Linked DNA regions of Oryzias latipes. The protein of the gene in region 1 purifies or fractionates together with the protein of each later gene. This does not show direct contact. Links are inferred from orthologs where the notes say so. Each region holds a gene or a part of one and is shown on either strand. Other genes may lie near its edges.

What was found.
Region 2: the proteins of zc3h18 (region 1) and fnbp4 purify together in Homo sapiens (affinity purification with mass spectrometry; 3 studies listed by BioGRID and IntAct, counting the BioPlex papers as one, with this or other methods). This does not show direct contact. The link is inferred for Oryzias latipes from reciprocal best matches to the Homo sapiens genes ZC3H18 and FNBP4.

The regions. Positions count from the first base shown.
Region 1 is NC_019864.2:26,610,670-26,614,327, reverse strand, and holds part of zc3h18 (zinc finger CCCH domain-containing protein 18), read right to left. Parts: intron 2,560-3,658; coding exon 2,445-2,559; intron 787-2,444; coding exon 521-786; intron 1-520.
Region 2 is NC_019864.2:31,062,174-31,065,831, reverse strand, and holds part of fnbp4 (formin-binding protein 4), read right to left. Parts: coding exon 3,513-3,658; intron 3,431-3,512; coding exon 3,349-3,430; intron 3,263-3,348; coding exon 2,921-3,262; intron 1,383-2,920; coding exon 1,190-1,382; intron 1,097-1,189; coding exon 978-1,096; intron 1-977.

The sequences.
Region 1 (3,658 bases):
GTTGCTATAGCTCAACGTGGCCACCGGGTGTCCCTGTTCTTAATTGGATCAAAGTAAAAAAAGAGGCCCAGTAGTTAGAGTGGGACACCTGGCAAGTCATTTAGTCACTAGTTTGAACTTAGACAAGCACATTTTGAGTCAACTCATTGTGGTACCCTTGAGCAAGGCACTTGACCCAAAAGCCACCTGAGGTAACAATGAGATCATGAACAGGATGGTCTTGAAAAACTGAATTTTGCAAACTCCAGAAGAGGCCAAAGAGGTCTCAATAGATCGTCCTTTTATAGATGTATAAAAAAGTATGTTTTATAAAAGTGCAATACTAAAACCTTGTAACAATAAGCTTCTGTCATTTAAACAGATGCGTGTATTATAAGAAAATGAGCCATACGCGACTAGACATATGACACTTTTTCCTCATTCATTGTGTTTTTTCCTCCTTTAAGTTTCACTAAAGACCTGACATGAGGAAGGAAAGGGTCGATTCTGTGATTCTCCCAGGTCACTGAAGGTCACTTACTTGACGGGCAGGTTGGGGGGGGAGCGCGGCTTCATCTTTTCCTCTTCTTTCTTGTCTCTGGGGTCTCGAGGAGGACGCATCCTCGGCCGCTCCTTGTCGTCGCGTTTGATCCGGTCCCTCTCCCACTCTTCTTTCCGCTTCATCCTCTCCTTCTCACGCTCCCGCTCTCGTTCCCGCTCCCTTTCCCGCTGTCGGCGTTCCCGCTCACGGTGGTCTCTCTCCCGCTCTCTGTGACGCTCCCGAAGTTCCCGCTCGCGTTCGCGCTCCTGGAAAAAAGAAAGAAAAGAGGAAAATGTCAACTGATAATCCTTTCACCAATAGGAACTAGAGGTAAGATCGGGCCTGAAAAATCCAGCCCGACCCGACACAGGCCCGCGGGCATTAAAGCCGAACCCGGCCAGAACCCGACCAATTAACTTGATTTGCAGGTCCGAGCCTGAAGTAAACCCGAAATTTCAATTCATCCCATAGTTTTTTGGCAGAAAAAAAACGCAAGATTTAAGGTTAAAATAATCTACATATTTTTATGATCATGATAAATGCATTTGCACAATGAAATAACGCTTGAACACAGAATAAGAGGCCAGACAAAGAGAGTGAAAGAGAGATCTTGACGCGCACTCGCTTAATGCGGAGAAATACTGCAGCCGCGGCGGTGAGTGTTTGTCTTTTCAGCTCTCCTGTCTTAAGTGTATCCTTGACTTCATGCTGCTCCATATCGGGGATACTTAAACAAAATAGATGCGGACTTGCGGAGGGAAAATTACATTCACGACACGTTCATTCACGTGTGCAGAGCTGCGGGTGGCCGGCGCCCCCCTCTTTCTGCTAGTTACAGTGTATGTCAATCAACGGTGGGGTGGTGACTGGGGGGCGGGGTCTACCTGTGTGTGTGTGTGTGTGTGTGTTCCGTGAACGTTCTCCCTCTGAGTAAGAAGAAGCTGGCTGTGCCTTTCGGTTCGTGCGGTAACCGTTCTGTGGTACAGGATTAATAAAGAGCTGTTTGACAACCGCCTGCTTAAGGAGCTTCTTTGCAGCCATTACAATATTTTTTTTTTAAAAGTCAGCGAGAGAGAAGCCAGGCCCGAACCGACCCGAACGTAATGATTGTCATTTAGTGCCTGACCCGAAGATCTTACCTCTAATAGGAACCCATGGTGACAGTGTAAAAGAAAAATATCAGAAATGGATTCAGCGGTCCACTAGGTTTTACACAAGTTTATTTTTAGGAAAAATTGGTCTGGGTTTTTATGGGTTAAAGTCACTCCGCTAAACAAATAGTTACTTTCAGAAGTATTCATTATTCAGGGTTCCTACAGGCTTCTTCAAGTTATATTTATGACTTTTTAAGACCTAGCATTTGAAAAATTAACAGAATAATTTGATGAATTACAATTCAAATTTCAGTAATAAATATCAATTACTAGACCGGACTAGGTCACCGATTGGATTAATATTTGGGACTTCTTTTTTTACCGTTATCCTTTCTTCGTAACACACAACACGAATGCGTGCACCCAACACACTTCCGCTTTTAGAGGAATACTCAAAGATGCGTGAATGGATCAAAAGTACCGCTTTGGGGTTGTTTTTTGTGATGAATTAACCTTATAATACACTTAAAAGCTAAAAAAGTTGATTTTGCATGGTATAAGTCTGCACTGAAAATAACAAAAAGGCAAATTTCAGCGGCTAAACACTGGATATAAACCGACAAGAATGAACAACATCGGAGTTTATTGTCATTACGCGCACACATAATGACATTTGTGTTGAAGTGCTTGGTTTAACATGTAAAATCAAGTAAAGACTAAAAGCGATAGCAGCATCAAACCCAAATGTGTTATGAGAACAGAAAACCAAACAATTATTTTCTTGATCTGATCAAATTCCAGCTTTTTAGAAGTCAGAGGTGGATACTCACAGTGAAGTGGTAAGGAATGGGGGCTTCAGTGTACTGCACTCTGAAGTTTTCATAATGGCCCCCGCGCCACAAAGCTTCCATTTCATAGTCATAGTAGGGGTCAGCGTAGGGGTCGCTGCAGAGAAAAACATCAATGAGAAACTGCTGCCAACTGCAAACTGATTCCTACAAATCTTCAAGACTAAAACTCCAGGACATTTTTAAAAGCAGCCTGTTCATTATTGTCAAAAGAGCAAAAAAATGTATTTTGTTCATTTCTATTCAATCGTTCTACAAAACAAAAATGAGAACATCTTACCAAATATTTATGGCTTCTGCTTATTTTCAGAAAACTTCCACTTAAAACAGCTAAAGATTTGGATCCTGCGGAAATCTACTTATTTACCTGAAAGCTTTTCAATATTGTTTTAAAAGCCAATACCAAAATGGAGTGAATGGATGGATAAATAGAATTTATGCAGACATTTTTTTTTTTAATTTCACTAACGAATCTATTTTGCTCACAGCCAATTGTCAGACAAGCAGAACTAAACTTCTATTTTGTTTAGACAGAACGCATTCTAACTTGTATATGAATGAATTCCAGTCAATCCCGTCATTCCTTCCTTCCTTCCAGCTACATGCTGAAATTAGGATATTCCCATTTTTTCCTGTATTTTTTTCCAACACGAAGATTCCCTCAGATCTCCTCGCTCCATTTCCATCATCAGGCTGCCAATTCTTTTGCAACTGATAAGTTGCTGTGTTGTCGTACTGGTTTTATTGTTTTTATCTCTCTATATTTAATTCTGTGTTTTAAGATGTTTTAGTGTTAGTTTTCTTCATTTCTCGTGTTCAGCACTTTGTGTCGGCTGCTGTTGATTGAAAGTTCTATTTAAATAGAGATGAGATGAAGTTGAAAATAATGGATGCAATCAAACAGTTTTCTTCAAAAGATCAGAGGAAAAAACAAAAACAACCAATAAGTTCATCTAATGGTTTCAATGCAACCAAGTCCTGAATTGACACAAATTTGAAAGATTTTAATTTTTTAAAGCTCAGTAGCTCTGTGCAAAAGTTTTTCTTTTTTTTTTTTTTGATAAAATATGTGAACTTGTTGGTTTTTTTTTTGTTATTGTGTTGTATAAATGTTGGAAAATGTGCTGGTGGAAAACAAAACTGACCTTTGAAATAAAATAAAGTGAAAAAACCTTTAAAAAGTTCTTGACGGCTGA
Region 2 (3,658 bases), about 4.5 Mb from region 1:
AATTACTTCTATTGGTAACAAGTGATTGAATTAAATTCATTCAACCTAGTTTCTTATATCTATCCAACTCAAATTTACATATTTATCCAACTAAATGTCATTTTACTCCAATTCAATTAAATGTTTTTCATCTTAATTTATTGTACTTCTTGAACTCTCATATGTCTAAGTTTGAGGCAGCAGATTTTCTCATTTTCATCAAATTAAAATAAATGATACAGTGTGGATTTACAACATGAAGCATAGCTTCATTACAATGACTTTTACAGTAACTTAGTTCTTATTCCATACTGATACACTAGTGATGCTATAGAAACTCACCATCCTCTCCCTCCCTCTCACTCATGGTGCAGACAGAATTAAACATAACAGGCCAAATAACTAGACAAAACACAGTAAAACCGCTAAACAACTAAACACAATTGGTTAAAAAACCTAAATCTGTCCCGAAAGGGAAAGGTATCCCACAATCCTTTGCAGTGCCGATCTAACAGCAGCACCAAAGTTACAACTACTTAATTGAATTATTTTGAATGAAAGTAAAATAACTGTCTGAAAACTACGTGTTATTTTTAAGCTGACTTAACTAAAAAAAGATTTCTTAACTGAGCCAAATAATTAAGTTAGATCAAGGTAAAAAGTTTCTCTTTCCAACATCCATATGTGGTCTTATCATCCTCTCATGGTGGAAAAAGTATTATCTGAGCTTCTTCATCCACTAAATCATCTTCAAATGGACACGCCATGCTGCTTCACCTCTCTGAAAACAAACTAACCTTCAACTAAACCTGCTCCAGACCAGGTTATGTTCAGAGCATCAGTTGCTATGGCAACTTGACAAACCCTGAAACATACCTCTGTTTTTTGGAACTGAAAGCTGAGGTTATCAACTTCCTTAGCTTCAAACTTACCGTGGGAGCTAGCATAACCTGCTTTCTGGAAACCCCCCCAGGTCAAGCCGACAGGCGACCGCTCACCTTCAGCTCAGGCGTTTCAACCTCGTCTTTTATTAAAGGTTTGGAGGCGGTTTTGTCCTCGGAGCTGTCGGCTTCCTTCTTCTCTTCTTCCACGAGACTTTCCAGAACTGTAGGCGGAGCTAAAAAAGCACGATGTTGACATTTATTACAGGCCTAAATATGAAAGCAGTTGCTTTCGAAGTGTCAGCAGGTTTTCCCGCACAGATCCTCACCCGTGTCGGCGCTGTCCGGCAGGTCCGAGCTCCTGCTGTTGGAGTCTGGGCTGTCAGCGGCGGGGAAGACGCTTTTCCAGCGGCTCTTCTTCAGCAGGACGCCTCGGGACCCAGCGGCTTCCTGGCTGGCCTCTGAACACGGGCTGGAGCCTCCGGCGCTCACGTCGCCCTCCTCCAGCGCCCGCAGTTCCGCCTGAGGGGCAGGTGAGAAACCCGTTCAGGTTGAGCCGTAAAAACAGTCGTTTTCACTCAGAAGGTGGGGAAATTATGGGATGCTCGTCACGCTGTATGAATGTACCAACATCCACGGCTCACATCCAGATCCTCTTTAGATTCATTTTCAATAGTTTACCCTCAGGTTCCTGCTTAGACGGTTGGATTTTCAAATGACAACTATTTTAAAAATGAACAGAAAACCTTCAGATCCTTAAAGGTCCATGGGATAAGAATGTCAGCAGATAACTTTCAGTTTGTGAATTAATTTTAAATATAACAACAATAAAAGAAAATTTCATTAAAAAAAAACTCTTACATGCATTATTTTCTATTTTTTTTTTCATGTTAAGAAAACAATTGTAATTGTTCTTTAAGTTCAGTAAATCTGTTTTCCAGAGATTTTTTTGTCTGAAGCTTAACTTTAAAAAGTATTCTTTGATCAGTAAAACATTCAAACTTTAAAACAATTATTTACCTGATAAGATCAGAAAAAAGAAGAAATATACCTTAAAAAAACATCACATGACCACAGACCAGCAAGTTATAAAAACATCCACGGTGACACAGAATTACATTTGTTAAGGCCCGTACACACCGGGACGAATATTCGCCAGCCGTTATTCGCCAGCGTTTTTCGCCACGTTTTTTGTGTTCACACCCAGGCGATTTTCGCTGACGATGAGCCGAGTGAACATGCAATTTCATTCCCTGACATTAGATGGCGCTTAATGTAAAACCGAAATACTCCTGTACACAAGGTGGCGCTGCGCAACTTTACGCTTCTTAAAGTCGCTTTTCACTCAGAAGAAGAGAGCAAGTATTTACGCGCTTGTCAGAATCAAACAAAGAAAACATGAATATTTCAAGCATCAGTAGCTCCAACTGGTGCTTGGTTCGGGGATATTTTAGAATGTCCGTCATTATTTCTTCGCTGCTGTGTAGACGCTACTTGGCGTCTAACTTCTTCGCTGGTATGTGTGCTCAGCAAGGCAGTTTTGTTTGAGCGCCCCCAAGTTGTGTTTTACTGTAACTTCAGAAGCTCCAGACACGTGAGCAAAAGCGCCGTTCTCATTGGTCGAGTAGATTTCGACGCGACGAGAAAAAAAAAACGAACCCGAGGCGGTTTTTTTTTTTGACGCTTTAACGCCTGGCGTTTTTTCGCGTCGGTGTGCACACTCTCATTGGGGCCCTTTGTTTAGTCACGAGGCGTTAAACATCGGCGAAAATCGCCGGCGAAATTCGTCCCGGTGTGAACAGGCCTTTATGTCTTTCAGCCATTTTATTAATGTGTATTGCTGTAGAATAAAAACTAGTATTGTTTAGTATTATTTACTTTAACTCAGCTAATTGCAGCTTTGATTGGATTTTCTTCTAAATTCTTCAACTAATTTTAAACTTTTCCATTTTCCCTTTGACTCTTTTCATTAAGCTGTCAGCGTTGATGTGCGTTTAACAGAAATAAAACTCAAATGAGAGTCCTGGTTCTACTGTGACCCGGACCCGTCTACGACCCACCTTCTTCCTCTCTAGAGCGAGTTCCAGCTCCATCGTGTCCTCCTCAGCCGCATCGTCAGCTTCTGCGTTTTCTCCCAATGTTTTCTTTATGGCGAGATCTTTCTGGGCGGCGGGGGTGGAGTCTGACTCCCGGAGGGGTGTGGAGGGAGATCCTACCGGCTTCTGAGCTTCGTCTGGATCCAAACTGTTTTCTGGTTCGTCCAAACCTTTGAGCAGTTTTTTCCTCCACTTCTCTTCAGCTTCTTTCACTTCCGACGGGATTAGAGGAGCGAGGAGAGAGGCAGCCACTCCTTTGTGCTCCTCCTCTTCGTTTGTGAGGGCCACGACGCTCTCCATGACCTCCTGTTGGACAGAAAACACCTCAGAGGAGCAGCTCTCCAGGAACAGACCAGCAGATTCAAGTTTGAGTGAACTTCAACCAAACTGGCCTTTGATTTGGTCTCTTTCACAGCTGGGGGGGCGGCTGTTGGAGCCACGTACGCAGCATGCGCTGTGTCTTTGCCGTTGACACTAGAAAAACAAAGATTTCAGAACGATGTTTCAGAACAGCGTCATTTCCTAATGTTGGTCCAAAGAGCTGAGATCTTCTCACCTGTTGGAATATTGACCCAGGCTCTGCACCTGGTCAGCCAGATAATGCGGCAGCTCCCAGGAAACCTCGTTGGTCAGAGTGTTCCAGTAATAATAGCAGCCAGAGTTCTCGTCCCAAACCTCCTGCCAGTCTCCCATCTCAACTCC